3 linked regions of the Caenorhabditis elegans genome follow. The protein of the gene in region 1 purifies or fractionates together with the protein of each later gene. This does not show direct contact. Each region holds a gene or a part of one and is shown in the gene's direction. Other genes may lie near its edges.

Evidence for each region.
Region 2: the proteins of irld-12 (region 1) and chd-1 fractionate together in Caenorhabditis elegans (co-fractionation; one large-scale study listed by BioGRID). This does not show direct contact.
Region 3: the proteins of irld-12 (region 1) and swsn-4 fractionate together in Caenorhabditis elegans (co-fractionation; one large-scale study listed by BioGRID). This does not show direct contact.

What each region holds. Positions count from the first base shown.
Region 1 is NC_003283.11:3,016,569-3,027,561, reverse strand, and holds irld-12 (Receptor L-domain domain-containing protein), read left to right. Parts: upstream 1-6,155; coding exon 6,156-6,273; intron 6,274-6,327; coding exon 6,328-6,579; intron 6,580-6,630; coding exon 6,631-6,828; intron 6,829-7,984; coding exon 7,985-8,277; intron 8,278-8,331; coding exon 8,332-8,704; intron 8,705-8,753; coding exon 8,754-8,821; intron 8,822-8,874; coding exon 8,875-9,025; intron 9,026-9,073; coding exon 9,074-9,201; downstream 9,202-10,993. Other genes in the region: asp-8 (Peptidase A1 domain-containing protein), read right to left, coding at 1-41, 2,103-2,574, 2,626-2,725, 2,777-2,999.
Region 2 is NC_003279.8:7,010,150-7,021,142, reverse strand, and holds the start of chd-1 (Chromodomain-helicase-DNA-binding protein 1), read left to right. Parts: upstream 1-5,919; 5' UTR 5,920-5,934; coding exon 5,935-6,064; intron 6,065-6,208; coding exon 6,209-6,351; intron 6,352-6,403; coding exon 6,404-6,640; intron 6,641-6,937; coding exon 6,938-7,558; intron 7,559-7,564; exon of another isoform or gene 7,565-7,623; coding exon 7,624-7,974; intron 7,975-8,020; coding exon 8,021-9,675; intron 9,676-9,838; coding exon 9,839-9,998; intron 9,999-10,175; coding exon 10,176-10,604; intron 10,605-10,650; coding exon 10,651-10,816; intron 10,817-10,993. Other genes in the region: pdi-3 (Protein disulfide-isomerase), read left to right, coding at 356-586, 3,127-3,352, 3,399-3,522, 3,579-3,692, 3,743-4,042, 4,122-4,350, 4,713-4,789, 4,841-5,006.
Region 3 is NC_003282.8:11,121,557-11,132,549, forward strand, and holds swsn-4 (SWI/SNF chromatin remodeling complex core catalytic subunit swsn-4), read left to right. Parts: upstream 1-4,467; 5' UTR 4,468-4,517; coding exon 4,518-4,973; intron 4,974-5,020; coding exon 5,021-5,245; intron 5,246-5,292; coding exon 5,293-5,519; intron 5,520-5,566; coding exon 5,567-6,359; intron 6,360-6,407; coding exon 6,408-8,057; intron 8,058-8,101; coding exon 8,102-8,608; intron 8,609-8,653; coding exon 8,654-9,139; intron 9,140-9,187; coding exon 9,188-9,268; 3' UTR 9,269-9,606; downstream 9,607-10,993. Other genes in the region: enpl-1 (Endoplasmin homolog), read left to right, coding at 1-93, 168-743, 810-1,382; Meiotic recombination protein spo-11, read right to left, coding at 1,603-2,011, 2,058-2,148, 2,216-2,443, 2,491-2,587, 2,632-2,866, 2,917-3,086, 3,132-3,179; ard-1 (3-hydroxyacyl-CoA dehydrogenase type-2), read left to right, coding at 9,737-9,760, 9,844-10,002, 10,785-10,949.

The sequences.
Region 1 (10,993 bases):
TTTGGAACACCAGTCCAGCCGGATGAAGTGTCGGGGATGGTCTGAAACTTGATAGTTATGGTTTTCAGCAACTGAATTTCACAATTAGCGTTCTCAAAAAGTACCCAAAATTGTTCATGTGGCGGTTTAAAATTTTGAAACAAAAGGCCTAAACACTCAAATTTTGCAAAAAAATGTGCTGGCTCCCTTCTAAATACCAATAACACCGCGTTACAATACTCATTCATAACTCCTACAGTAATCTGAATCTGAATAATCTGACATTCTCCAGACATTAAAATTATTGGAGTTGGCCTGACCTGTAATGGTACTAACTACAAACTCTATAGTGATAATTCGCCAGAGTTTGTAGTTTATATTATCACGGTTTTTAATGATAAAGTTACATTTCTAGTTGACAAATAATCACATTTTTTATGTTGATACGTATTAGGTCGTTCAATAAGTTTTTTCGTTTTTTTCTAGTTTTGGTTTTTTCTTGGATATTATTTTGCGGTCGTATAGAAGACTGTTAGTAATGACAAGCCCAACAATATCAGCCATATCGGCCAACTTCCAGATTATTTAAAACTCCGAACTATGGTGACGAAAAAAAAAAATTTTTTCGAATTTTTTCATTTCTTTATGAAATCAAAAACTTTCTATGCGTAGAGGTATTAGACAGTTAGTTAAACAAAACTGAAAAATTTCAGACTCAGGCATAGCTTATTGATAGCGCTACATCTGTTGGAAGTGCCGAAAACGCTTGCAAAATTGCCTTTTTTATGTTTGAGCAGTGCTAACTTTGAAATCATGAGAGATATACAAAAGTAATGTATTACAACATTAATGTAACATTATTAGCTACACTTTATTAGTATATCACATTGTTGTACCTCTTCACGTTTCTGAGTTACAGTCGATAGAAGTGAGCTTGGTCCAATTTTCAAAAAACCCTATTTTCTCATGTTTTGGCCTGTAACTCCGAAATCAGGCGTCTGATCAAAAATCTTTAAATTAAAAAATAAGCATTTTTTATTTATAAACAGGTACTCAGTTGACTGTTTTGTCATATCTCATATATGCGCAATGATATGAATCGCCAAAGAAAAGTTGCGGAAATTTCAGAAAACTTTTTAAAAAATCCTCGAAAAAAAAATCCAAAAAAATTTTTTACAAGATAACCTCTAACTGTTTTTAGATTATGATAGCCTAATTAGTAATCAAAATATTACATGCATTTTTGAACGCTCATGTTGTTTTCGGAAAGAGTAAAATAGTTTTTTGCAATATATTTCTATATTTTTTCGATCATGCATTTTTTGTTCGTTGACGGTTCATATCATTGCGCACATATGAGATATGACAAAACGGTCAACTGAGTACCTGTTTATAAATAAAAAATGCTTATTTTTTAATTTAAAGATTTTTGATCAGACGCCTGATTTCGGAGTTACAGGCCAAAACATGAGAAAATAGGGTTTTTTGAAAATTGGACCAAGCTCACTTCTATCGACTGTAACTCAGAAACGTGAAGAGGTACAACAATGTGATATACTAATGAAGTGTAGCTAATAATGTGTACATTAATGTTGTAATACATTACTTTTGTATATCTCTCATGATTTCAAAGTTGGCACTGCTCAAACATAAAAAAGGCAATTTCGCAAGCGTTTTCGGCACTTCCAACAGATGTAGCGCTATCAATAAGCTATGCCTGAGTCTGAAATTTTTCAGTTTTGTTTAACTAACTGTCTTATACCTCTACGCATACAAAGCTTTTGATTTCATAAAGAAATGAAAAAATTCGAAAAAAAAAATTTTTTTTCGTCACCATAGTTCGGAGTTTTAAATAATCTGGAAGTTGGCCGATATGGCTGATATTGTTGGGCTTGTCATTACTAACAGTCTTCTATACAACCGCAAAATAATATCCAAGAAAAAACCAAAACTAGAAAAAAACGAAAAAACTTATTGAACGACCTAATAGTTGAATAAAACTTTACTACCATTTACAGCGTACATTCTGATAAATTCGCAAATTAACCTAATGTATTCCTCTTTCAATTTGGAGTTTTGTTTGATTCTAATTTAGCGAGAAAAACCCCCAGTAAAAACAATACCGTTTCTGTTTGAGTTCTTGAATAAGTGCCGATTGAAAATCCATCCACAGAGTAACTCCAGAACGAGTTGTAGGCAAGTGGGACGTAATTGACTTGTGATTGGCAATGTGTGGTGTCAATTGCTCCAAACATAATGTCACCTCCTGCTGTTCCGTTATGCATGTTGGATTTTGTGAAATAAGTCGTGAAGAGTTTCTGATCAAGTTGTGGCAGTAAGTTTTGCATTGTTGTACTAGTTCCATTAAGTGCAGTAGCCGGCCATCCCAATCCCAGGACTCCATCGAATGTTTCCCCGAAAAGTCTGGTGGCAGCGGTTCCGATTCCAAAGTCTTGGCTTTGAATAGTAAAACCGGCAAATTGAGCTGTATCTTTTCCTACATTTCCAGAAACGTGTCCACCATCATATGGCAGGTTGAAGCTTGAAGTTCCGGCGACAAATGTCGAGGAAGCAGTGCGATTGTATTCGCGATCTCTAAAACTCTTCCAGAAGTCTCAACTGTTAGATTGGGGTCAGCATACTCACCTACGACCTCGTCCTCCATGGCAGTTTTGACTTCTGCACTCGACTCCAAAAACCCATAGATTTGAGGATGTAGTGTCAAAGGCTACTTGAAAGTGTTGAGCTGAAATTTTTTGTTTTCTTTTTGAAGCACCCCGAACATCCGAGAACTCACCTGGAGTTCCAATTCTAACACCGGCGGTATAGTACTCATCGAAATGGTCAAAGAACGACACATTTCCAGTGCTCAATTGCTGGATTCTAGCAAGCTCCTGTCCGTAGCGTCCTTCTCGGATTAGCTGCTCACGAAGAGATCCAGATTTTTCTACTGAAATTGAGAATTGTCCTGCAGAGCAGAGGGCAACTAGTCCCAGCAGAGAAATTAGTTTTCCAAACATTTTGTGGAAAATGAAAATTTTCCGGTTATCTTCCAATTTTATAGACTGGAAAGTATTTCTCAATATTTTAGTACCCCCCGTTATCACTACAAAAAGATGATGCAGTTTTTGTCAATGATCTTAAAAATGGTCATGATCTTTGTTTGCGAACTGATTGTGAATACACTTTCTCCTCGTTCAGCGCATAAAAATGTAGTGTTGACGCAAATAAAAAGTTTTTGAACTAATTGAGTGATGCAAATTGAAAATTGCACGAAGAAAATTGCCAAGGCAAGTGCCCTACAAAAAAAGGCGCGAAAATCTAATAGTAGCCTGCTGTAATAGATCAAAAAACCTTGTTTCATTTTTATAGCCTCTCATTATGAATCACGCGATTTAGTCTTCAAAATTTTACAAATTTTCGACATTTATAATTTAAACTTCCGATTCGAGATAATTGCTGCATATGTAAAAGCTCAAGTTTTTGTCCTTTCTAATACATTTGGTCAAACTCCACATGAAAATCCCAACTATTTTTCTATTTTCTCTATTTTTTCTCACTTTTATTTTAATTTGTAAAACAGATCCCCGAGAAAATTTAAATACTATTGTCAGTTTTTTCCAATGCGGTTTGTTTAGAAATTTTAATTTTTTCTAATTTTTTTTTAAATTAAAATGTTCAGAGGACAAGTGCGTTTTCAATTACACCGAAATAAGCTCGGTTACAATAAAGTTTTTCCCAAAGTGTGAACTAGTCTGCGCAATTATTGTCATCAACTCAAAAACAGATGTATCTGCTGTTCAAATTAAAAAGGCTTTCAAGAATATGCGTACGTTACTTGGCGGCTTATGGATTGAGAATTCAAATTTGACGGATCTCTCTATTTTTACAACTGATAAAGAATCTGGAAGTTTCAATATTGCTTGTGATTTTTGTAAGAATTTTTATTAAAGTTATGATCCCTATCATTCCTTACATATTAAAAAAAAAAAGTGTACATCTGTTGAGTGCGTCATCAATGGGCGGAGCCTCTCGCTTCGTGGCGAGACCCATTGTGGTGAGACCCATCGTGGTGAGATCCATCGTGGTGAGACCAACGAATTTTGGCGGGAAATTCAAATTTAATGAGAAAACATTTTGGCGGGAAATTTAAACTTTCTGAGAAAATTTTTGGCGCGAAATTCAATTTTTTGAAAAACATCTTCAATAGAATTTCAAATTTTCGGGGAAAATAATTTGGCAGAAAATTATTTTTTTATATTTTTGGCGAGAAATTCAAATTTCAAAAGGAAACATTTGGTGGGGAATTCAAATTTTCAGAGAAAGATTTTTAGAAGGAAATTCGAATTTTCTGCAAAATATTTTTGGCGCAAAATTTTAAATTTTCTGAGAAAACACTTGGCGGGATGTTCAATTTTTCCGAGATTTTTTTTGACGGGAATTCTAACTTTCTGAGAAATTGTTTCGCGGGAAAATCAAATTATTTCGAGAAAAAAAAACGGAAAATTCAAATTTTCTGTTGTGAAGCTTTTGTTTTGGCATATCTATATGTTATATGAATACTTTCAGCAGGAATATTTATACTAAACAATTCCCAATTAGGTGATCCAAATAATATGTTTAACTCGATATATACCTACCGTGCTGGTGACAATAGAGAATGCGTTTTTGAAGTTCAAAACAACGCAATTCTAGAAGTGGATTGTGATTATGGATATGTTCCTTATCTCAAAGAAATTTATGTTGTTGGGAATTCGAAAAATTGCAGTAAGTACCTAGATATCTAAAGATATTGTTTTTCAATTTTTTCCCATCCACAAATTCAGGATGCCATGGTGGAAAGTTAAGCGAGGCTGAAATTAGAACCTATACAGCATGCCAAAGTCTAAGTGCTGGATTGGAACTTTCCAACTTAACAGATCTATCAGTGTTAAGCTATTTTCAAATCTGACATATATTCGAGGAGACTTTAATATTCATCACTCAAATATTCAAAATTTATCTTGTCTAGAAAATCTAGAAATTTTGAAAATTAGTAACAATGGAAGTGGCGAGCAAATTGATTTCAATCTTCACGATAATCCGGAAATGATTCGTCTCGGGTTTCCGAAGCTTGAAGAATTCAAAAACGCTCACGACACATATCACTTGGACGGACTCAAATTGAGAAACGCGAATTTTGAAAATCTACATCCTGATTTTTGTCTAACATTGCCAGAAATCCATCGTTTGATGTGGTCTTACTTCCATTTCAAAAACCTTCACGCTAAACTTTGTGCGGATCCGGGAGAGATACCAGATGCTGTCAACTGTATTTTCAAATCTATGAGTGACTTGCCAAACGATTGTGACGCTATTATTGGAGATATAACAATTGGAGAAGGCGATGAAGTTTATGTGAGCAAGTTGGATTGGACTAGTTACTTGGTTGGAACAGTGACAATACGGAATACCCAACTTAATGATACATATTTTCTGAGTTACCTTAGTTATATAGTTTCGTTCAGGTGAGGCTTTTCAGTGTACAACTTCAAATCGTAAAGTTACAGATTCACCAGTCATCCGAATTTATTCTAATCCAAACTTGAAAAAGGTCTCAGTGGGAGGAATGGTAGTTATTCTAGAAAATTGGCTTAATACTACAATTAACAATTTTAGGCTGTCGTGACGAGAGGAAAACGAATTGCCATAATCCAAGATAATTATGCTAATTTGTTCAAGTCAAAACCTTGCGATCTGTTTAACGAGCATAATCAAGATACGGTTTGGTATTGCATCGTACTAACTTGACGCATACCGGAAGTCACTGCGGAGAGAGAGTAGAAATTGGAAATTTGGAAGCATCGAAACTTAATTTGTGTGTTTTTATAATTGTATGGAGCTTAAACCCTTTAAAGATGTATTTTTGAAATAAATCATTCAATTTTTTTTTAATTTTCGGACCACAGTTCCCGTCAAACGTTAACAATTGTCACAGTCTGCATAATTCCTAAAAACTGATCTCACACGTTTTTTAGCGTCCGACATTTTTGGGGTTTTAGTATTTGATAAAATCAACGTTATTCTTGACACCCCTACATCACACTACATTTTGAGTCAGCTATAATAACTACCTTCGCATGTCCCCAAACTTTTTGAAATAATTTGTTGCCCAAGCATCAAATCTCATGCTCAACATGAAAACATTTTCCCTATCGATTTTTTGCATTTTCCTACTTTTTATTTTATTTCGCTACTGCAGCTCTCTCAATTTATCTAAAGCTTTACAAAATGTATTTGATTCAAATAGCTGTGGTGGGAAATTTTTTCTTACGATTATCAATTTTTAAAATTTTTTTTTTGTTTCAGAAAAGAAGTGCATGTTTAATTACACCGAAATAACTTCAAAAACAATACAATTTTTCCCGAAATGCGAGGTTGTCTGTGCAATTATAGTTATAGATTCTAGAACTGACTTAGCACATGAGAAATTGGAAAAGGCCTTCAAGAAAATGAACTTTTTGGTTGGCGGGTTACGAATCGAGAATACAAAGTATACAAGCCTATCTTTCATAACTACAAGGTTTCCAAATGGGCCATTTAATTTTTCATGCAGCGATTGTAAGTTGAAAATTTTAATTTCAGCAAAAGAGCCTAAACTTCTAGTTTTAGATGGCTTATTCATCAAGAACAATTCCGAGTTGAACGAAATTGATGTGCTATATAGATTTAATATGATTCGTCGAGAAGGTCTGAAGGAGTGTAATTTCGAAGTTGAAAATAATGAGAAACTTGAAATATTTTGTTACACGAATTATCTAGATCACTATATGAACATGAAGATTTTTGGAAACAAGAGAGATTGCGATGGTAAAAAGCAAAAAATTCACTGTGGACCGGAGATGGCGGGCACATTTTTTTGGCAAAATTATGAAATATATTTTTATCTTGCAGAAATATAGAAAAACTTGTCCACTTTTTGAAAATATGTACATTTCCTTTTGATTGAAATTTTTGAAAGATATTATATGGAAAACGTTCAGAAAATTTCTTTGTCCACAAATTTGGCAAATTGGCAAATTGCCGGCTTGGCAATGTCCCAGAAATTTAGATTTTCAAATTGTCGATTTGTCGTTTGCCGGTTTGCCGATTTGCCGGAATTTTTTATTTTCGACAATTTGCCGAATTGTGGTTTCCGGATTTCAATTTGCCGAAAGTGTTTAGAGGGCATTTTTATAAGACGGAAACAATTAAAACTGTGCCTCTTTGAACATTTTTCCCGTTTTCTTCAGATATTTCTATAGAATTTACTTACTTTTCCGAATGGATGTAGAAACATTCATAAGATGCGTACAATGTTGCCTATTGAAATTAAAATACTTAAATTTCCAAAAAAAAATGAGCAAACCCGCAATTGCCCGAAAGTTTTCGGCAATTGCCGTTTTTCCGGCAAGTGCGGCAAATCGGCAGCTGGACGGTTCGCCGATTTTTCCGGAAATTTCAATTCCGGCAATTTGCCGATTTGCCGATTTGCCAAGAATTTAAATTCCGGCAATTTGCCAATTTGCCGGAAGTAGATGTAGGAATGTTCATAGGATGCGTACAATGTTGCCTATTGAAATTGAAATACTGAAATTTCCGAAAAATGTGCAAAACCACAGTTCGCCGAAAATTTTCGGCAATTCCCGTTTTTCAGGCAAGTTCGGCGAATCGACAATGTTCCGGTTTGCCGATTTTCCGGAAATTTTTCAATTCCGGCAACTTGCCAAATTGCCGGAAATTTTTCAATTCCGGCAATTTGTCGATTTGCCGATTTGCCGGAAAATGTCGTTGCCGCCCACACGATTACCTAGCAAAATGCGATTTCGCGTCCCATTTTGAGCAACTTTCCGGAACTTTTACTTGAAAATAAAGAGATTTTCAGAAAGTGCAAATATTTCTCTATATTTCTATCTAAATTTCTAACAAAAAACTTTGACACAACTGTATGAAAATGGGATTTTGTAAATGAATGTACTCTTTCCAGGCTGCCAATTTGGAGAGGTTGATGTTTATAAACCGAATCACATGGATAATTGTGATACTTTGGTAAATGGTTTGAAGGTTTTCAATGTCACTGGTGAAGGAGATCTTTCTTATTTATCAACCGTTAAAGTCATCAAAGGAAACATTGAAATCCGCCACACTACCCTGCAGAATCTCTCATTCATTTCGAAACTCGAAAGAATAAAAGTTCAAAATGAAGGAATCGATGAGCAACTTCTCATTAATATTCACGATAATCCAAATATGACGCGGCTGGGGCTCCCGAATTTTCAGGTAATGTTTTGACGGAATTTTCTGTTAAAATAATTGCTGATTTGTGAATTTCAGGATATCGAAAATTATTGGAGTGGAATTATTCGAGTAAACTTTGAAAATTTGCATCCAGATTTTTGCCTAACCCTCCCCGAGTTGAACAATTTCTTCCTACAGTCTGATCTTTCTGTGGAGAATCTAGACGCAAAATTATGCGAGGACTATGGAAATCTAGAAGATATAGTTTTATGCATTTTCATCTCAATGGAGGAGCTCCCGAATAATTGTGAAATAATAATGGGGAATTTGATTATAGAAGGTGGAGATGAGGACTATGTGACGAAGCTTAGAGTGTTAGAATTTTTATTCGGCTCCCTGATTATTCAAAATACAACTTTGGATAGCATCGGTTTTCTGGATTCGCTACACTATATTACAGTATTAAATGGTGGTTTTTTCATAAAGAAAATTTTATAACATTGAAAAAAATTTTTTAGAGTCATCCCCAGTTGCAATGATAATCTCGAATCCAAATTTGAAATACGCGAAAATGAGCGGAATTTGGGTAGACTTGCTCATCGCCTATATGTAGGATAATTTTATTTTCCAAACTTTCAGAACATTCTCACAAGAGGAGAAAGATTGGCAATCATACAAGACAATCATCCGGAATTCTACGAGCCTTGCCAACTTTTCCGGATTTATGTAGGCTCGTATGTTAATTACAGAGAGTATAGATCAAATTTGACTTATACTGGAAGTAATTGCGGTACTTTTTTGGAGAAAATTTTGATTTGAAATTTTTTTCAATTTTCAGGCAAAAGAGTTGAGCTACAACTAGAAGATATACAATCTGGAGCACAACACCATCTGGGAGCCTGTGTAGTTTTAATATGGACCTTGGCATGTTACTTTACCAAAAATTACATAAATGTTTTATTCTGAACCAAATAAATACTAACCTGAAATCATTCTAATACGATTGATATTCTGATAACAACCTCGTGTTCGGAACTATACATAAATCGATATTTCTGTGTGTTCCCTATAGAATAAGCGCAGCCGACCACGAAGGAGGTCTGCGATGAACTACTTGTTCCGTAACCCGTAAGGTGTACGTAAGGTGTCTGCATTCCACGAAGACGAGGCGCTAAGAGGGCACACCACGCCCGCCCTACTCCCGCACGCCTGTGCGCCCGCACTATCACACTCTGTGTACTGCGGCCGACGCTGTGCGGGACCTTGCCCCACTATAGCTGTGTGCAACAGATAAGGGCAATGGTGTGAGGGCGGGCGAGAGTGGTGCCTTCGTGGAGGCAAATACTCATTGACTCCAAAATCATTGACTACCTGTTCTCATTGCCTACCTGTGCTCATTGTCTACTTGTTTTCTTCATCAGTCAAGAGGCACGTACAAGGACCGTATTCCAAGAATACATCAAAGGTACATCTACTCAATTTGTTCATTCAAATGAAATAACCTCCAAAACTCTCTGAACTGAGTATTTTCAAACTGGCGTATCTCAAAAAATACACACCTGAAAAACAAATGTCCAACTAACAAAATGATGAGAAATATTTTTTCTTTCTAATTTAATAGTTTTTATTTCAATACACCAACATTTTGTAAAGTTACACGGAGTCAAAGCCATTTTTCCAAAATTCACAAAAATTTTTAGAAGTCTTTTGTTGTACCCTTTATAACTCAACTTTCATTGAATTTCAGAAGATAAATTTTGTTGAATAGTGAGTGAAAAATATTTTTCTACATTTTACCAGTTTTAAGTTTTCGGATATTTTCATGTTCCGCCAAGTTAGAGACCGTTTTTCAAAAAAATTCAATTTCGCTTATAAAAATCTTCATATTCAACGTATCGACTTGAAATTTTGAAAAATGATCATTTTTTTGATGTCTCTACAATGTCCTAAAAAATTTTTCAAAAAACACTGTCCATCTCCAAAATCGTCCTCCGCTCCAAAATAAGAAAGTGGACCTTTGCCTTCCGAAAAATGGGCGAAAAACTGAAATTGCGATTTTTGGGTCGAAAAAAATATTTTTAGAAAGCTGAGAACACGCTATTTACGAATTTCATGTTCATTTTGAGTGATTTCTTTTCTTAAACGACCTAAAAATTAAACAAAAAGAACATAATTTTTATTCTCACGTGAAATTTTTTAAAATTTGCATTAAAACAATTGAAACACTGAGCAAATTACCAAATAGTTACACGTGAGAATTAAAAATATGTTATTTTTGTTTAATTTTTAGGTCGTGTAAGAGAAGAAATCACCTGAAATGAACATGAAATTCGCAAATAGCGTGTTCTCAGCTTTCTAAAAATATTTTTTTCGACCCAAAAATCGCAATTTCAGTTTTTCGCCCATTTTTCGGAAGGCAAAGGTCCACTTTCTTATTTTGGAGCGGAGGACGATTTTGGAGATGGACAGTGTTTTTGAAAGATTTTTTAGGACATTGTAGAGACATCAAAAAAGTGATCATTTTTCAAAATTTCAAGTCGATACGTTGAATATGAAGATTTTTATAAGCGAAATTGGATTTTTTTGAAAAACGGTCTGTAACTTGGCGGAACATGAAAAAATCCGAAAACTTGAAACTGGTAAAATGTAAAAAAATATTTTTCACCTACTATTCAACAAAATTTATCTTCTGAAATTCAATGAAAGTTGAGTTATAAAGGGTACAACAAAAGACTTCTTAAAATTTTATGTGAATTTT
Region 2 (10,993 bases), on another chromosome or scaffold:
CGAAACAATCTGTATTTGTCCATTCACATGTGATTCACAGAAAAGAATGAAAATAAATGCGAAAAAAAAATAAATAAAGTAAAGGCGCATTGATTTTACCGCTCGCGGTATCTCGCCACGAAAACACGTTTCGCGTCAAGCGGCTCACGTTTTCGATGCGATCGCGGTTTGTTAATTGCGAAAACACCTTCCCTTCTCTTCAATCGTTCGCTCAATTTCTAGAAAATATTTCTGAATAATCTGAAAACCTCTAATCTTGTTTCTTAGTTTTTAACTTTTTGTCGGTGTTCCCGATAATCTCTCGCCCTCTAAACTCACTCGATCGATTGTCGTTTATAGGTAAAGTTTTTAGGTAATGATTTGGGTCCAGGCAGCTTTGGTCGCCTCCTTCCTGGCGTTCGCCAGTGCTGGAGGAGCCGTTCTCGAGTATACCGACGGAAACTTCGATGATCTCATCCAAACCCACGACATTGCTCTTGTCAAGTTCTACGCTCCCTGGTGCGGACACTGCAAGAAAATTGCCCCAGAGTATGAGAGAGCTGCCCCAAAACTCGCATCTAACGATCCACCAGTCGCTCTCGTCAAGGTAAGATAACCATACTTATTTACACAGCCATCGCTCATATATCGATCGCAGTGACACTGACAAATACGCGAAAGCTGATAAAACAGCAACGAAAGCCACATTGAATAGAAATATATGAAATGCATACAAAGGATTCTTTGAATTTATTGTTCTAGTCCTTATGCATATAGAAACATTTGTCCGTCATATATATTATGTATGCTGGTCCAAAATGGTTATTGTGTATTCAAAAGGCCATTGACAATGAGATCGGCTCGACATTTACATTTTCCCACGCATCAAATCACTGTTTGTTGTCAGGTCTTTACTCTACAGAATACGGACATCAATTAACGATAAGAGCAAAAACACCAGTCGCGTAGCAAACAGTTTTATCTATACCACAAACGAGTGCGATATGGTAGTAAATGAAACAAAAGATTATGTTTTTGAAGTTGAAGATTGTAAAAAAAAAGAAACAAAGATTTGAACCACGGTTTAGTAATAGGAATCCAGCCCCCCTTTAAGAATTCTCAGTTTTGAAACAGTAAATTCAATATTATCTCGAAAACGATCTATCACATGTGCATTGCCATAGAGAATAGTATATGTTTGAAATTTTTGAAGCAGTAATTGACAGACTTTTTCAATTAAACATTTTACGGTGTTCCTTTTGGCAAACAATTCCTCTTCTTTTCACGTGTATCTTTGTAAAATTCTCGAAATCTCTTTCCCAGTGTTATCCGAAAAAAGGCGGAGCTTGCCGCAAAGACCCAGAAAAATGGGCGTCACGCTCAAGTTTTCGAGAAAATATAAGATCCACCTCCTTGCGTTGTACGGCTCTGACACATTTTCCGGAGTTTTTTCAATGAAAAGAGGCCATAAAACTTCATTTGACCGACTTCGTTGTAATTTCGTGATTCTAAAATTAGCAACGCATGTTATCGTTAGAAAACAAGTAGTTAGGGATGGTCACCAAGGGTGTCAGTGTCCCGTAAAAATTACAAAAACGGGACAGTGGGATGTCCCGTTCCCGCGAAAACACCCAAAAAACGGGACAACGGGACATCCCGTTCCCGTGAAAACGCTCAAAAACGGGACAGCGGGACGTCCCGTTCCCGTGATAATTTTAAAAACGGGACAACGGGACGTCCCGTTCCCGTGAAAACACCCAAAAAACGGGACAACGGGACACGGGACTTGACACCCTTGATGGTCACCAAATCATGTGCTACACAGCACCCTAGATTGCGGGAGCCGGCCCTGTTGTCGTGAAAATGAAAATGTTCTCCAATTTCAATCAGTCGATCATGTTTTAATTCGAATTGAAAATATGATATTTAAAGCTAATTTTAAAATGCTTGAATTAGCTTGCATTTTTTTAAAAGTTGAATTTCAATAATTTAAGTTTTAATATCTCTGAAAAGGAATAGGATGATGCATGTGAATGAAATACTGATTTCTCTGCCAATATCGCATCCAAGAGAGTCGATCAAAAATTAGTGATGCAGCCTCTAATAGACTTGCCTGAATAGTTTCAAAATTTTCAAATATATTCTTTATATGTATTTTTTCAACTGCGTCATATAGTTTCCAAAGCTAAGGGTCATTCGTAGCTTAGTCTGGCATGTGACACTAATAGAGGTAATTTCAGTATCCTAATAGTAAGAATCAAAAACATGACCGAATACTTTTTGATTAATTCGATCGTTTCAAGGTATTGGAAAGATTTCATCGATTAGTTTTATTTATTGGACGACGATAGTGACGATCACATAGTAATAACGTGGGTGTATTATAATAATGTTGAAAGAGCCTGTTCAAATCATTTTGGTTGACACATCTTGTTTATTCACTTCTGCAATATGACGAAAAGTGCAGCGTTGTGGCCATGTTCCAATACATAATCAATGGATTTCTGAATCAGGGGTGTGCGGCAAATTTGCCGAAAATTGCCGACTTGCCGAGCTCGGCAAATTTGCCGATTTGCCGAATTCGGCAAATTTGAAAAAACCAGCAATTGCCGATTTGCCGAGCACGGCAAATTTCAAAAAGGTAGATTTGCCGAATTTGCCGAGCTCGGCAAATTTCGAAATTTGCCGCACACGTCAAAAATTTTACAGTACAATTTTGAGTAAAATTATTGATTTTTTCGCCAAAAATTTAGTAAAATGACACAAAATTGAGTTAGTTTTATGCTTAAGCAGACATACTACACGGAACTAATTCAGAAACCAGATGTGTGTTAAGAATTCGGTAGTTTTGGTGTTCCAAAAAACATCAAAAATTATCAAAATTTTCCGAGTTTGTTAAGCACGGCAAATTTTGAAAAACCAGCAATTGCCGATTTGCCGAGCTCGGCAATTTTTTCCATTTGCCGCACACCCCTGTTCTGAATCATGGTCTCGCAAAGTATATCCAAAGTTTGAAAAACATTTCATGGTGTCGTAACTTATATTTCAATACGTTTTGTGACTTTACAATATTTATTGCATTTCACATAGGTGAATGAACTCATTATTAAATACGCATATGTATTTCTCTCATTGTTTTTTTTTCAGGTCGATTGTACCACCGAGAAGACTGTTTGTGACAAATTCGGAGTTAAGGGATTCCCAACTCTTAAGATCTTCCGCAATGGAGTTCCAGCCCAAGACTACGATGGACCACGTGATGCCGATGGTATCGTTAAGTTCATGCGCGGACAGTCGGGACCTTCTTCCAAGGAACTTAAGACCGTTGCCGAATTCGAGAAGTTCACTGGTGGAGATGAAAATGTTGTCATCGGTTGGTTGATTTATTTCTTGGCTTTTTTAAATTTAATTATTTAAAGGATTCTTCGAGAGCGAAAGCAAGCTTAAGGATTCTTATCTCAAGGTTGCTGATACCGAACGTGATCGTTTCTCCTTCGCTCACACTTCCAACAAAGACATCATCAAGAAGGCTGGATACTCTGAGTAAGTACTAATTGTGAATTCGCATGTTCCTGATAATTTAATGAGCTATTTTTCAGTGACGTCGTTGTCTTCGTTCCAAAAAAGCTCCATAACAAGTTTGACACTAACGAGTTCAAATATGATGGTAACTACGACACCGATAAGATTAAGAACTTCTTGGTCCATGAAACGTTAGTCATGATTAAATTATTGTGCTTGTAATTAATTATCATATTTTAAGTGTTGGATTTGCCGGAATTCGTACTCAAGGAAACTTGTTCCAATTCGAGCAAAAGCCAATCGTCATTGTTTACTACAACGTTGATTACGTCAAGGATCCTAAGGGATCCAACTACTGGCGCAACCGTGTCTTGAAAGTTGCTCAAAACTATAAGAGAAAAGTTCAATTCGCCGTTTCCAACAAAGAAGAATTCTCTTCTGAAATTGAAACCAATGGACTAGGAGAGCGCAAGGACTCGGATAAGCCAATCGTTGCCATTCTCACTAATGAAGGAAAGTATCCAATGGACCAAGAATTCAGGTGTGTTAAAGCTCTGATATATTATCAGAAAATAATTTCAATGTTTTTCAACCGATATTTAATATAATAATAATTTCAGCGTTGACAATCTCCAGCAATTCGTTGATGAAGTTCTCGCCGGAAATGCCGAACCATACATGAAGTCTGAGCCAATCCCAGATGAACAAGGAGACGTTAAGGTTGCCGTTGGAAAGAACTTCAAGGAACTTATCATGGATGCTGATAAGGATGTGCTCATTGAATTTTATGCTCCATGGTGCGGACATTGCAAATCATTGGCTCCAAAATACGAGGAACTTGCTGAGAAGGTAGAATTTTTTGTTACATAAAATTAATACGACGTATTGTGAATAAGAATTCGCAACAGTTGGTTTTTTTTAAACATCTTCCCATAGTTCACATTTAAAAAGTTTATTTTTTACTTATTTTGAAACACGAATGTGAGAAAAACTTAAAAATAAAAATAGAAGTTAGCATGCAAGTTATTTTTTACATAGTAATTTTTTATTTATTAAAGTGCTTTTGTGATAAGCTTTCTGAAAGGTTTTTCAAAAATACAAGTTAACTTTAATTAAACTTTTTTAAATATTTAAGTTTACACTGGGAGACACTTAAAGTATTCAGGCTTGTGATATAATTTGTAAAATACTTTCAAATTTTGTAATTTCAGCTCAACAAGGAAGATGTTATCATTGCTAAGATGGATGCCACCGCCAATGATGTTCCACCAATGTTCGAAGTTAGAGGGTTAGTAATTTTATCCAATGCTGATCCTGAATTATTTGTATAATTTTGCAGATTCCCAACTCTCTTCTGGCTTCCAAAGAACGCTAAGTCGAACCCGATCCCATACAATGGAGGACGCGAAGTTAAGGATTTCGTCAGCTTCATCTCAAAGCACTCTACTGATGGGCTCAAGGGTTTCAGCCGCGACGGAAAGAAGAAGAAGAAGACTGAATTGTAATTGGATAATTATAGAGAATTTTTATCAAATCCCTCCCTCGTTGTTTCCCTTTTGTAATTTATTTATTTATTGTTTGCAGCTTCGACTAGGGTTCCCAATCGAAGAATTTTCAACTTGACGGTTGTTTCACGGTTTCTTTCTTGTTTTATGATGTAAAAAGGACCGTTTGGTGCCTTCATTATGGCGTTTCGTACGCCTTTTTTGCCAATAAACCTTCTGGTCTCTAATATTTGAGTTGTTCTCACACAAATACATGAAAAGCATCAATGTGGGAGGCTCTATTCTGACTAAAAATGCAAGTTTGAATTCGCGGTTAGAGTAACGAGCACTTTTGATCGCGAGCGGTTGCGTCGCGGTTGTGAGGTGTTCATGGCTGGGCGATTCGCTTTTTTCTGAAGTGCGCATCTCTTTTTGGACCGATTTCTTGGCTCACAAGCAGAATTTTTCGATTAAAATGTTTTCTATAGACAGCTAAATTTAATTAGTACCCTTTTCAGTTAAAAAAATATAGGAAATTGCACCGGAAAGTACTATTAATGGGCCTAGTGCAATTGTTTTTTATTCCGATGTTAACGGGGATCTAGTACCGTATTTAACAAATTGCACATACTTTTGAGAATTTTTGAATTATTTTGATGTTATTTTATTATAGTTTAGTGATGTTTGAAAAAAAAGTTTTTTGATTTTACGTCAGTGATTTCATTGATTTTTTTTTTGAATTTTTTTCCTCTTGTAAATATAACGGTATCGGCGCCAAAATGAAATAATTTGAATATTAATAAGATTGTTTGCTAAAATTAGCTAAAATAGTTATCAAAATAGTAATATTTATGAATATAAATATAATCGAACAAAATTTTGCTAAATTTTACCGTCTTTTTGGAATTTTTACGGGGTTTTTTGTTGAGAAAAAATAAGAATTTCAGATATGTGGAATCAGTCTGAATCATCATCTGGGAGTGATGCAGAACCTGATGAGAAAACAGATGAACCTGTGAGGGAAGAAGAAAATCCTGAAGGAAACAGTACCAGTGAAGATAATGATGAAAAAGAAAAAGGTTGGATATTAACTATTTTCAGAATTCATCAAATACATTTAAAATCTTAAGTATCTGAAATTTTGTGAACTACAAAAAAGAATGTTACATTACACGAATACTATTTTAAAAAAATAAGTTATTTTTATTTGACTCAATTTCCAGCTGCGGATTCACCTGAAAGTTCTTCTGATCAAAGTGACGACAGTGATGATGCTAGTGAAAACTCATCAAGTTCAGAACCAGATGAACCTGCCCCGAAGAAGAAAAATAATAATAATCGGGGGATGGATGCAGAAACAAGAAAAGTATGTGTCCAAAGATCAAAAACACAACAGAAATTAATTTAATATATTCCAGCTGCTTGAAAATGAAAACTACTTTCGACGTTCAAAACGATCAAAACGACAAGATGATTCACCGTCGGATAATTCCGAAGAATCACAATCTTCTGAAGATGATTGGGATGATCGACGAAAACCACGGCGAACAGTAACAAAAAAAGTTGTCAAGCAAACGAAAAAAGCAGTTTCAGTTGTAAAACGGAAGTCGGTGAAAGGAAATGTTAATTATGCCGAGAAAAATTCGGATGATGACGTGAGTTGTTGAAATATTCAAATATAGCGCCGAGTGGTCTCTCCGCGAAAAATATTTTTAGAAAATGTAATTCAGTAATGCGCCTTTGATACAGTAGGCCGCAAAAATTATTTTTTCCTTCATTTATTAGCTTCAATTTAAAAACATCTTAAAATTAAAGCTATTTAATAATTTTTTTAAGTATGAGTCGTAAAACTAAAATGTGGAACTAGTTTCGTCCGAACTTCATTTTAAAGACCTTTTCTAAAACTAAAATAATCTTAAAATTTAGCAGTTTCCTATATTTTATTTTTCCAGATCGACGATGACGACGTTCTTGAATGGGATGAAGAGCCAGCAGTACCCGCAGAAGGACCTGCAATTCTTACTGAAACTGTCGAAAGAGTTATCAAATGGCGGCACGGTGTACCTGGAGCAACGGGTTCTGCAACAACTTGTTATAATATTGCTGATAAAGGGGATCCTAACGATCAAATTCCCGGTGATAAGACAGAGCAGCAATTTTTTGTCAAATGGACAGGCTGGAGTCATCTGCATAACACATGGGAGTCTGAAAACTCATTGGCCTTGATGAATGCAAAAGGACTCAAAAAAGTTCAAAACTACGTGAAAAAGCAAAAAGAAGTTGAGATGTGGAAGCGGTCAGCCGATAAAGAATACATTGAATTTTTTGAATGTGAACAACAAATGGCAGAAGAACTTTGTGAAGAATACAAAAAAGTGGAAAGAGTCGTAGCTCATCAAACATCAAGAGATCGAGCTGCTGATGGATCAATGGCAACTGAATATCTTATCAAGTGGTCTGGATTACCGTACTCGGATTGTACTTGGGAAGATGAAAAGATGGTTGCACCTGAGCAGATAAAGGCTTATTATCATCGAATTGAAAATCTGAAATCTCCGAATAAAAATTCAAATGTTAGTTTGAAGGACAATTTATTTCACTTTTTATTATTAAACCTCTACAAAAAATAATAATTTAGGTCCTCCGGAAGCGCCCGAAATTTGAAAAATTTGAGTCGATGCCGGATTTTCTGAAAACCGACGGAGAATCAACACACAAACTTCGTGATTATCAACTTGAAGGTCTCAATTGGATGGTATACGCTTGGTGCAAAGGAAACAGCTCAATTCTAGCCGATGAAATGGGCCTTGGAAAAACAATTCAATCGATTTCTCTTCTCGCTTCATTATTTCATCGTTATGATCTTGCTGGACCATACCTCGTAGTTGTTCCTCTCTCAACGATGGCTGCTTGGCAGAAAGAATTTGCTCAATGGGCTCCTGAAATGAATCTTGTTGTTTATATGGGCGATGTTGTTTCTAGAGATATGGTAATAAATAATATTTGTATTTTTATATTGAAAAGTAGTTTTGTAGATTCGTCAATACGAATGGTTTGTCGGCGGAACGAAGAAAATGAAGATCAATGCAATTCTGACAACGTATGAAATTCTTCTCAAAGATAAAGCATTCCTGTCATCAATTGATTGGGCAGCTCTTCTTGTTGATGAAGCTCACCGTCTCAAAAACGACGAATCTTTGCTTTACAAATCTCTCACACAGTTCCGTTTCAACCATAAGCTTCTAATCACAGGAACACCTCTCCAGAACTCATTGAAAGAGCTGTGGGCTCTTCTTCACTTCATCATGCCTGAAAAGTTCGATTGTTGGGAAGAATTTGAAACAGCTCACAATGAATCGAATCATAAAGGAATATCTGCTTTGCACAAAAAGCTTGAACCATTTTTGTTGAGGAGAGTAAAGAAAGATGTTGAAAAATCGTTGCCGCCGAAGACGGAACAGATTCTCAGAGTTGACATGACGGCTCACCAGAAGCAGTTTTATAAATGGATTCTTACAAAGAACTACCGCGAGTTATCGAAAGGTGTCAAAGGATCAATTAATGGATTTGTAAATCTTGTGATGGAATTGAAAAAGTGTTGCAATCATGCATCCCTCACTCGACAATATGATCATATCTATGACGATGCCCAAGGAAGGTTACAACAACTTTTAAAATCTTCTGGAAAACTAATCCTTCTTGACAAGCTTCTATGCCGTCTGAAAGACAAAGGTCATCGAGTTCTGATCTTCTCTCAAATGGTTATGATGCTCGATATTTTACAAGAGTACCTTCAATTACGACGCTTTCCTTCACAACGACTCGACGGATCTATGCGTGCTGATCTTCGGAAACAAGCTCTTGATCATTACAATGCTCCGGGATCCACGGATTTTGCCTTCCTTCTGTCCACGAGGGCTGGTGGATTAGGAATTAACCTCGCCACTGCTGATACAGTAATAATTTTCGACTCAGATTGGAACCCACAGAATGATTTGCAAGCAATGTCTCGTGCACATCGTATTGGTCAAACAAAAACCGTGAACATCTACCGACTAGTAACAAAAGGTTCTGTTGAAGAAGAGATTGTTGAACGAGCGAAACGGAAGCTTGTATTGGATCATTTAGTCATTCAAAGAATGGATACCACTGGAAAAACAGTGTTGTCGAAGAATGCAACTGCCAGCGGAAGTGTTCCTTTCGATAAACAAGAACTTAGTGCAATTCTGAAGTTTGGAGCTGTTGAATTGTTCAAAGAGAAAGAAGGTGAAGAACAAGAACCTGAAGTTGATATTGATCGAATCCTGATGGGCGCGGAGACTCGAGAAGCTGAAGAAGAAGTGATGAAAGAGAATGAACTGCTCAGTTCATTTAAATATGCAAACTTCGCAATCGATGAAGAGAAGGACATTGCTGCAGCAACTGACGAATGGGCGGCTATAATTCCAGAAGAGGATAGAAATCGAATTCTTGAGGAAGAACGGATGAAGGAGTTGGCTGAAATGAATCTAGCACCGAGACAAAGAAAACAACCAATACCACAGGTTGTCGAAGATGATGATGGTGACGATGATGAAGAAGAAGATGATACTGGAAAAAAGAAAAAGAAGAAAGCAGTGGGAAACTTCACAATTCCTGAAATCAAACGATTTATCAAATCATTCCGAAAGTTTTCGATGCCTCTTAACAGGTACGTGCTTCTCATGTCTTATTAGTTTTTTGTTAACCTCTGAGCTCATTGAGTCGGCTGTGCCACTGCTTTGTAACTCTTCTCTCTAAACTTCTAAACTCTCTAAATTGTTCTCATGTTTTCTTTTCCCCAATCTTCCCCCACCCACCTGTGTTGTTTTTAGGCTCGAGGAAATTGCTCAAGATGCGGAACTCGAGGAGCACAGCACTGACGAGATGAAGAAACTTGTTGAAAGTTTGAGTGAGGCGTGCAAAAAAGCAGCCGATGAGTTCGACAGTAACGAGAAAAATGGTGATGCCGGTGCAGCGGAAAGTGAAAAGAAGGTTAGTTCGAATTTTTTGAGCCAACTTTTTTTTTGTTCATTGAAAATATTAATTTTCTCTGATCAAAACAATTGATTAATTTTTTTAATTAACGCGTTTAAAGTTTTTTGATGAAGCTAACTTGTGTTTGTTATGGAAATAATAATAATATGTATTTTATTAACAATTTTCTTGCAGGACATCGAAAGAAAATTCAAATTTCATACATGTGACGTTAATCTGAAGCAAATCGAACGAAGTCATGCTGAGCTGAAACCATTACACGAAATACTCAAGTCAGAAGAAACGAAAACTTCATTCAAACCACCAGCAAATGCTAAATTACAAAAAGGTTGGGATGTTGATTGGAGTCGACCTGATGACTCGGCATTGCTCCTGGGTGTCTGGAAGTACGGTTACGGTAGTTGGGAAGCGATAAAAATGGATCCTACTCTTGGATTGGCTGATAAGATTTTTATTAAAGACAAGACGAAAAAACCGCAAGGAAAAAACTTACAAGTTCGAGTCGATTATTTGTTGAAACTAATGTCCAAGGATAAAGTGAAGACAACGGAAAAAAAGGAAAGAAAACGAAAGGCAGATGATGTACCAGTTGGACCAGAAAAGGTTGGAATTTAATGTCTTCTTATTGAATATAATTTAAATTTTTCAGAAGAAAAGGCATACGAATAATGTTCCTCAAGAGGGAGAAAAGAAGAAAAAAGAAAAGAAAGAAGAGAAAAACAGCAGCAGTTTGAAAGATCAGCTAGCTCTTCTTTCGATTGATAAATCTCTTTATGGAGGTGCTCTAGAGGATAGCAGTGCCAAGCCATTCCTAGGTAAAAACTTTGAAAAAATATTTCAGAACTTACAGTATATGTTCTAAGACATTCAGATATGAATTTGACTGCAAAGAAATGTGGATTTTTAGAAAAAATAGTATTCTTAAATTAAACTTCATATGTCTGAAATTCGAAAAAAAATAATAATAACAGCTCTGGCTTCTAATCATCCTA
Region 3 (10,993 bases), on another chromosome or scaffold:
CCACTGAGTCACGTGCATTTCAGTGCTGAAGGAGAAGTTTCCTTCAGATCTATCCTCTACGTTCCAAAGAAGTCTCCAAATGACATGTTCCAGGTAAGAATATTGAAAGTTATATAGCATTTGTTTTAATTGCGTTTAGTTATTTTCAACTAATAATGTTATTTCAGAACTACGGAAAAGTTATCGAAAACATCAAATTGTACGTTCGTCGTGTCTTCATCACTGACGATTTTGCCGATATGCTTCCAAAGTATCTTTCCTTCATTCGCGGTATCGTTGATTCAGATGATCTCCCACTCAATGTCTCCCGTGAAAACCTCCAACAGCACAAACTTCTCAAGGTTATCAAGAAGAAACTTGTCCGTAAAGTGCTCGACATGCTCAAGAAACTCGACGGAGCCCAATTCGATGACTTCTGGAGCGAGTTCTCTACCAATATCAAGTTGGGAGTTATGGAGGATCCATCCAACCGTATGCGTCTTGCTAAACTTCTCCGCTTCCAGTCTTCTAATGATGCTGACAAAACAACTACTCTTGCCGCCTATGTCGAAAGAATGAAAGAAAAGCAAGACGCCATTTACTACATGGCTGGAACTTCCAGAAAGGAAGTTGAAACTTCTCCATTCGTAGAGAGACTCATCGCTAAGGGATACGAAGTTTTGTTCCTCACCGAAGCTGTTGATGAGTACTGTATTCAAGCTATGCCAGAATATGAATCAAAGAAGTTCCAAAATGTGGCTAAGGTGAGTATTGAAGGCTTTTTTCTTTAGTGGCTATGATGTTTTACCTATCAACATGCTATTTTTCAGGAAGGAGTTACCATCGATGATGGAGAGAAGGCCAAGGAAGCCCACAAGGGTCTTGAAGAGGAGTTCAAGCCACTTACTGACTGGCTCAAGGAAACTGCACTCAAGGATCTGATCGAGAAAGCAGTTGTTTCTCAACGTCTTGTCAAATCACCATCTGCCCTTGTTGCCTCTTCCTACGGATGGTCTGGAAACATGGAGCGCATTATGAAGTCGCAAGCTTATGCTAAGGCAAAGGATCCAACTCAAGACTTCTATGCTACTCAGAAAAAGACATTCGAGATTAACCCACGCCATCCAGTTATCAAGGAGCTTCTCAAGAGAGTCACTGCTTCTGAAGAAGATACCACCGCTGCTTCTACTGCCAAGCTTCTCTTCGAAACTGCCACTCTTCGTTCTGGATTCTCACTTCAAGATCAAGTTGGTTTTGCTGATAGAATCGAAGCTGTCCTTCGCCAATCGCTCGATGTTTCCCAAGATGCTCAAGTTGAAACCGAACAGCATATTGAAGAGGCTGAACCAGAGCCAGAAGCCGCTGAAGAAACAACGATTGAGGAGGAGCACTCTGAGCTCTAAACAATGTAAAACATCTCCCCATTCCATTAGCTTTATGCACTCGATGATATTGTGATAAGATAAGATAACTTGTGTTGTTTTCTATTTATTTAATGTTGTTTCTCCCCCCACTTCTCAGTCTCAGTACTTCTCGAACACTTTACGGTTCCTTTCCCCTTTTGTGGTTGTAATTGCAATATATTGCATTTGAAACTAAAATAAAATCTGTTTCATATTATTTTCAATCACTATCATTATCTATCATATTCTGGAACTTTTCTTCAGCATCCGAATCTATATAGTCATCGTCTTTTGCTTCCCGATCATCATCTGTCGACAGCGAACATTGTGAATCTTCGTGGTACTCGTTTATAATCGTCTCTGGTTGAATCGGAATTTCTTTTTCTATCGACATGACTCTCGGAGCAATCAAGAATCGAGCCATATACTCCTGTCCGCACATATTTATTGATTCAAGTTCCATTTTAAATTTATTCTGAATCATCCAGTCTAATTCTCGTGTCACCACTATTTCTCCGAGTTGAATCGATCGAGGAATCATCTTCTCAATTTTCACAAAATCAGTTCGAACCAATGGAAGACATTGTGATTGATCGATGGTGAAACGATGAAAATCAGTTGGGAAAAGACTGGAAATTTGTTGAAATTATGAAAATAAATATAAAATCGTCTTACCCGATCCATTCAATCGTTGGAACAAAGGCTCCTCGGCCTTCGGCAAATTCTTTCGTAGGTCCATATTTGTAAGTCAAGTAGATTTCAATACCTTAATTGAATTTAAGTATTACTATTTTTAATATAGTTATTTTTTAAATCCTTTATTAAAAATTCACCATGCGGATCAGCGTCAAACAGTCCGTATATTGGAAATTTTCTTTTTTCACTCAACATTTTCAGAACATTTCGAGTTGCAATATCCGGATATCCTTTCGAAGTTGCTAGAATCCCACGTGGAAACATTGCTTGAAAATTTTCATCCATTAATTTTTGAAAAGTTGTGTCTTTCTCAACAACAAGTATGAAATCGGCTTCTGATATTATATTCGAAAATAACAGTGCATCTGAAACACCAGCGTTGATCATTTTTAAATGTTTTTTATTACCTTACCTGTGATCAAAACTTCTTGAACTCTCGCATCAATTACACCAACATTCTCAACTAAAAAAGTAATTGCTCCACGAATTATCCCGCGTCCACAAGAGAGCTGAAATTTGGAAATTATTTCTTGTTTATTAATGTCACACTGACAATGTTTAAATTAGCCCGACTTTCATTCAAAAGCTCACAAATTGATTTTATTGAACTGTCTAAATATTTCTGGTTTCCATAAACTGCTTTATGTTCATAATACAATTCTCTTTTCGTTGATCTTTTGTCATTTTCGAGCAAATCATAAACTTGGTGAAGACAGTGCAAATCTCTATCCAATTTTCCTTTCCTCTTTGCTGTATAACGAAGGCAAAAATGTGATTTACTAGTCGATCTGAAAAAAAAAACAAAATTACTCAAACATTTTCAACAGGAACTTATTACATTCTCAAAGTCAACGATTTCTCTTTGTTATCCATTTGCCTTTTAATATCTGCAAGAGCGAATTCAATTTTTCTCATAGCTTGTTCCTTCGGTGGTATTACTTCATCGTCAAGAAAACTGTCATCAGAATCATCAGAATCCGAATAAATAGTGGATTGTTGAGATTCTACCTGAAAATTGCAAAATTAGATTTGAATCAGCAATATTAAGCTTACAGATCCGGGCTCATGATCGATATTTGGGTTGAAAGAATATTCATACATGCTTTAAACTAATTAGTAGAACAAAAATACAGATAAAATGGAATAAAACTTTGATAAAACTTGGACGCAAGCTAATAAGGCTCCAGCTGCAAGATACAAAAAGTCAATAATCGAAAGGACCATACGTGAAAATAAAGCACGGGTCCCGCAGCGAATCGGAGTAGTACTGTAATTTTCGTCAGATTTTTAATACTCGGCGCCGACGAGTCTCAATGTTCGATCTTCTTTTCTATATTCTTAAATTGACATTTTTCTTCAAAAAATATTTTAAAATGCATTTCTTAAATATAACTCGGTTTTTCTCAATCCCTGCCGAAAAACCACAGCTTAAATGCAATTTTGAAGCGAATGACTGCACCATTCATTTCGTCGCAGTCGAAGAAGATTTTTATAGAATATAAAATTTATGTATAGTATTCATTTTTTTCTTAAACTAGCATTAAATGTTGTTGCGCTGAAATATTTTTGCTATATTAAATTTCCTTCAAATACTTTATTCAAATAGTCATAATGAAGCTCTGATATGGTCTATATCTACCGTAGTCTTCTTGTATTTTCCACTATTCCTTCTTTTCTTGTCTCTTTTCCCATTCATTTGTCCTCTCCGCCGCAATGGCCCGTTTCCAATGCAGGCAGACATGCAGAGTGTCTGCGTCTCTCCATTTCCAATAGTGTTTCTCCTCACTTTGCCTCTCTGGCCAATCGACGCTCGGCGCGTCCACTGCATACATTCAAACCTTCTTCTTCCCCAGCTGCTTAGTCTAACACACAATTTAGACCATTTTTCATGGATTTTCTCGGTTTTCAGACGAATTTCACGATATCAAGCGATACTAGTTATCAGTATACACTTATACGTCGTTGGAAAACGAAAAAACCTCTCAGGATTCATGAAAAGTCGATTCGTACACGTCACTACTTATCGATTTTTTCACAATCTTTAGAAATCGTCAATCTTTTAGTTTTTTCTTAGCTTTTCTTATCTCACTAGCTCACAAAGGGCCCCCGAAGAGTTCTCCGTGTTTTATATGCGCTAGAAATTTTGAATGCGCGCCGAAAGTTGTGTCCTGCAATACACTACATCTCTCTTTCACTTGCACGCTATTTCTCGGTTCCATCAGTCCTACTCTTTTTGCACTAGGATGGATGGAAAGTCTATATATTGTCCTCGGTTTTATTATTCACGCAGGCTTCTTCTGAAATTCGCTTATATACTATTACCGCAATACTTTTTGTTTATCTTGAATGTTCAATTGAATCTAAAATTCTGAATTAATAATTGTTTCAGACTATCAATTTGAAAGAAGATAGTGTATCAAATTGCTGGAATTTTGAAGAATGAGCGGAAGGCCGGCGTTTGAGCAGTTTACTGCTCAACCACCGCAACCAGCCGGTGAAGTTGTTGCTCAGCAAGCTGGTGATGGAGCTCAAGGCCAAGAGCTGACAATTTCCAAACTGGAAAATGCGATAACTTCAATGGAGGAACAAGGTCTTCAGAATGACCATCGACACGCCAAAGCAGTTCTTTTGAAGCAAAAACTCCAATCTGGTCTCCCAGACGCCGTTCCAGGACAGGAAAATGGCGGGAATCAACAAATTACCCCAGCACAACTCAATCAACTGAGGGCTCAAGTGTCAGCCTATCGTCTTTTGGCTCGAAATGAACAAGTACCGGCCAACTTGATTGCGGATGCTGTCATGCTCCGACCAAAAGTTACAACTTTGTTGCCTGAACCTTATGAATATCCAGGAGAGGCAGAGAATGGAGAAAAGTTGCCGTATGATTTGATGAAGGTAGGTAAAATGGATCGAATGAAACTATACAGTCTACTTTTTTACAGATTTTCAATCTCCATCAAATACGCTGTAATCGTCCAACAACAATTTCTGTTCCATCAGGAATTGATCCTGTTGGCATGCTCAAGCAAAGAGAAAATATGATTCAAAACAGAATCGGGCTACGCATGAAGCTACTCAATAACTTACCCGCCGACATTCCAGATCACATGAAATTGAAAGCAGAAATCGAATTGCGTGCTTTACGTCTTGTCAATCTCCAAACTCAGGTAATTTCTGGATTCGAAGAGTATTTTAACCAATAAGCTGTTTTTAGGTGCGCAGTGAAGTGATGGCTTGTCTCAAAAGAGACACAACTCTCGAAACTGCACTCAATCCATATGCGTATCGACGCACAAAGCGGCAATCTTTACGCGAAGCTCGTGTTACCGAAAAGCTTGAGAAGCAACAAAAGATGGAGCAAGAAAGAAAGAGAAGGCAGAAGCATACTGATTTGATGCAAGCTATCATTCAGCATGGAAAGGAATTCAAGGAGTATCATAGGTGAGATTGTATTTAGAAAGTTCTCCTACTAATTAAATTATTTTCAGAAACAATCTTCTGAAAATGGCAAAGTCTCGCAAGGCAGTCATGACATATCATCAAAACAATGAACGTGAACGCAAGAAGGACGAGATTCGAAATGAAAAACTTCGTATGCAAAAACTGATGCAAGAAGATGAAGAAGGATATCGTGCTCTTCTTGATGAGAAGAAAGATCAACGTCTTGTGTATCTTCTTCAACAAACCGATGAGTACGTCGACTCTCTGTGCTCACTTGTTCGTCAACATCAAAATACCGAAAAGAAAAAGAAGAAGGAAGATAAGAAAATTGAAAAAGGAAATCAAATGGATGAGGAAGCCAGGGTTCACGTTCGGGAGAGAAGCACTGGAAAAGCGCTTACTGGAGATCAAGCTCCAAAGACTGAAGAAATTGAGTTTTGGCTTGAAACTCATCCAGAATATGAGATAGTTCCACGTGATCAGCTTAGTGATGACGAAGAAGAGGAAGAGGAAGAGGCTCCAGTGGAACCAGAAGAAGAGAAGGATGATCAGTACGCTGGAATGGATGAAGAGACAAAAGCTAAGATGATCCTCGAGAAGGCACGTAACGAAGAGGATGAATATGATCAGAAAACGAAAAAGCAAATGGCTGATTACTATGCAACTGCTCACAAAATCAAAGAAAAGGTTGTCAAGCAACACACAACGATGGGTGGTGGTGATCCGAATCTTCTGCTGAAACCGTATCAGATTAAGGGATTGGAATGGATGGTCTCCTTATACAACAACAATCTGAACGGTATCCTCGCCGACGAAATGGGTCTAGGAAAAACTATTCAGGTAGGAATTTGGGAAATGAGGAAATATTAATCAATTTTTAATTTTCAGACAATCTCGTTGGTGACGTATTTGATGGAAGTCAAACAAAACAATGGACCATATCTTGTCATCGTACCGCTCTCCACGTTGTCCAATTGGCAGAACGAATTTGCTAAATGGGCTCCATCTGTAACCACTATCATCTATAAAGGAACTAAAGATGCTCGTCGTCGTGTTGAAGGACAAATCAGAAAAGGAGCGTTCAACGTTTTGATGACAACATATGAATATGTGATCAAAGAGAAAGCACTGCTTGGTAAAATCCGTTGGAAGTATATGATAATCGACGAAGGACATCGTTTGAAGAATCACAATTGTAAATTGACATTGATGTTGAACGGATTCTTCCATGCTCAGCATCGTTTACTTCTTACTGGTACTCCACTTCAGAACAAACTTCCTGAGCTATGGGCTCTGCTGAACTTCTTACTTCCATCGATCTTCTCATCTTGTGGAACTTTCGAACAATGGTTCAATGCTCCATTTGCGACTACAGGAGAGAAAGTAGAACTGAATCAAGAAGAGACGATGCTCATCATCAGAAGACTGCACAAGGTTCTTCGTCCATTCTTGCTGAGACGTCTCAAAAAGGAAGTAGAATCACAGCTTCCTGACAAGACCGAGTATGTCATCAAGTGTGACCAGTCTGCTTTGCAAAAGGTTATTTATCGTCATATGCAGAAAGGATTGCTTCTCGACGCTAAAATGTCATCTGGAGCACGTTCGTTGATGAACACTGTCGTGCATCTTCGCAAGCTTTGCAATCACCCGTTCCTTTTCCCTAATATTGAAGATTCCTGCCGTGCATACTGGAAGGTCAACGAAGTCAATGGAACCGATCTAATGCGTGTTGCTGGAAAGTTGGAACTTCTCGATCGTATTCTACCGAAACTAAAGGCAACAGGTCATCGAATTCTGATGTTCTTCCAGATGACGTCTATGATGAACATTTTCGAAGACTTTTTGAATTTCCGAAGATACACGTACCTCCGTTTAGACGGTTCAACTAAACCAGACGAGCGTGGAGATCTGCTGACACAGTTTAATGCTCCTAACAGTGATTTGTTCCTTTTCATGCTTTCTACAAGAGCTGGAGGTCTTGGACTCAATTTGCAAACTGCTGATACTGTTATTATCTTTGATTCGGATTGGAATCCTCATCAGGATATGCAGGCTCAAGATCGTGCACATCGTATCGGACAAAAGAAAGAAGTTCGAGTTCTTCGTCTCATCACAGCTAACTCTGTTGAAGAGAAAATTCTTGCCGCTGCTCGCTACAAGTTGAATGTCGACGAGAAAGTTATTCAAGCAGGAAAGTTCGATCAACGTTCAACTGGAGCTGAAAGAAAGCAAATGCTCGAACAAATTATTCAAGCAGACGGAGAAGAGGAAGAAGAAGAGGAAGTTCCAGATGATGAAACTGTGAATCAGATGGTTGCTCGCTCAGAGGAAGAATTTAATATCTTCCAATCGATGGATATTGATCGTCGTCGTGAAGAAGCTAATCAACTTCACCGTAAACCCCGTCTTCTAGAAGAACATGAAATTCCAGACGATATTCTCAAATTGTCATTCGATTATGAGGAAATGGAACGAGCCAGAGAGGAAGGTCGTGAAGTTGTTGATCAAACTCCTAATCAGAGAAGACGCAGAAGAGAGGTAAGGAATATATAAGAGAATTTACAATATTAATTCATTTTCAGGTCGACTACTCTTCCGATCTTTTGTCCGATGAACAGTTCATGAAACAAGTTGAGGAAGTTGAGGATGAAAATAATCAAGCTGTGGCTGAACGTAAAAAGCAAAGAAAACGTAAAATGGCTGGATTGGACGAGAATGATGATTCTATGGATGACGTTGTTCTACAACACAAGAAGAAGAAGACGGATCCAGAATTGGCAGAAAAAATCAATGAAATGCTTGATGTTATTCTAGAATATAAAAATGAGGATGGAGAACTCATCGCGGATGTATTCCAGACACTTCCAACTCGTAAAGAACTGCCGGACTATTATCAAGTGATTTCCAAACCAATGGATTTCGATCGAATCAACAAAAAGATCGAAACAGGACGTTATACGGTTATGGAAGAATTGAATGATGATATGAATTTGCTTGTGAACAATGCTCAAACATACAACGAAGAAGGCAGTGAGATTTATGTTAGCTCTGAAACAATCGGAAAATTGTGGAAGGAACAATACGATAAGGTATGATTGATTTTTGAAATTTCGAAGTTTACATTACTTTTTCAGTTTATGAATCCACCGAAGCCAGTAGAAGAACCAGTCAAGAAGAAAGAACCTTCAACCCCATCAACTTCATCTTCTCGTCCCTCAACCAGTGGCACTCCAAGTGTGTCAGATCTTCAGCGGACACAACAGGCAACTGCTCAGCAAATGTTAATGCTTATGACACATATGCAATCACTTCCACCCGCACAGGCTCAGCAGTTTCAACAGGCATTGATGACACAGACCGGTGGAAATCAAGCCCTAATGCTTCAATATATGCAGTCGGCTATGCTAGCTCAACGTGCACAAGCTTCAACTAAAGTAACCCCCAAAAAGGACGAGAAAAAAGAAACTTCGTCTTCTGTAAAGACCGAGGAAGCTAAGAAAGATGATGAACCATCAACATCGTCTGCAAGTGCACCACCACCGAAAAAGAAGAAGGAATCGGAAGATAGTGAAGACCCAATGGAAGAAGATGAAGAAGAGGAGATCATTGGACAAAAGAAGGTTACTTGAACTTTTTTAATGTCTTTAAGTCTAATATTTAATTTCCAGGAACCAGCATCAAGCCGTCGAAAGTCTCGTCCAACTCGCCGCTTCTCGAACGAGGATGAGGAAGAAGAAGACGACGAGTGATCAAAACTAGTCTGCTCCAAATATTTTCATGTCCCCATAAACATTTATTCTCTGTTTGTGTATTCTTCATGTTCTATGATTTCTGATTTTTTGAGCTGTCACCATAAATATGTCCCACCTCGTTCCCCCATTCTTATCTCTCCTGCTTCACAGTTATCTCTCATCGCTTTTTTACTGTTTATCTCTACTTCTCTTTTCTGTCGCAAGCTACACGTTTGCAGGAAAAAATCCCTGAAACAAAAGCATTAAGCATTGTATTTAACCCATATTCCACTTTTAATCCATACTATTCGTCAACTATTTTAAAGAAAAATTTAATTTTATAAACATTTCGAGAGAAATATGCTTTTGTTATCAAGAATTATTTTCGAATTTCGTTGCGATTTCTTTTATTAAATACTTTCCGTCTTAGTTCGAGATTTTGAATGTTTAATCAAACACACTTATGATTTAGGTAAACGGGAACAAATGTCGGCACTCAGAAGCACTAAGGTGAGTTTAAGAGCTTGAAAAGGTTGAATACTTGCTCCAAAATTGAAAGTGTTATCTGAAAACCCTACGTTCTATCTTCTCAGGGTCTCGTTGCTCTCGTCACTGGCGGAGCGTCTGGACTGGGAAAGGGTGCTGCCGAAGTTTTGGCAAAGGCTGGTGCACAGGTCGCTATTCTTGATCTTCCACAGTCAAAAGGAGCCGATGTTGCGAAGGAGATCGGAGGAATCTTTACACCAGCTTCGGTAACAATGATTTCATGCTACATTTGTAAAGAGAAACTTCAAGTAAAATATTACCCAGACGCCAATTTTGCGATCTCTGTCTCGACACGCCCTTTTTTGTAAAATAGAAACGAGTGTGTGCCTTTAAAGAGTACTGTTATTTCAAAATTTCGTTAGTACTGAATTTTCATGAAATTCTCATCGTTTTTTAAATTAAGAATTAAAAATTGAAAGCACATCAATTTTATTCAACAAATCATGATAAAAAACTACGAAAAGTCGATAAAAATTCCACAGCATTTTCAATTTTAAGAGTACTGTAAAATTACAGTACTTTTTAAAGGCGCACATACATTAGTATTTTACAAAGTTTTACGCTTCAAATATTACGATAACACAAAATTCTGAGAATGCGTATTTTGCAACATATTTGACGCGCAAAATATCTTGTAGCGAAAACTACAGTAATTGTTTAAATGACTACTGTAGCTCTTGTGCCGATTTACGGGATCGATTTTCGAAATGAATTTATTCTCGAATAGTGACAGTGATATTAGATTTTCCTTCATTTTTTCTTAAATTAAATAATTAAATTGATTTTAACTAATTTGGAAAAAAACCAACCCTGAAATTGATACAAGAGCTACAGTAGTCATTTAAAGAACTACTGTAGTTTTCGCTACAAGATATTTTGCGCGTCAAATATGTGGTTCTATACGCATTCTCCGAATTTAGTGCTCCCGTAATAACATAATTTATTATTGTATTTTCTCATTAAAAAACAAACGTTTCATAAATTTCAGGTAACATCCGAAGAAGAAGTGAGAGCAGCTTTTGCCAAAGTTCAAGCTGAATATGGTCGCCTCGATGCTCTTGTGAATTGTGCCGGAATTGCGTATGCTTTCAAGCTCTACTCTGTTCAAAAGAAGAAACACGTTGATTTTGAGAAGATCCGTCAGACCATTGATGTCAGTTACTGTCATTTCAACCACCAAAATAACTTAAAACAATT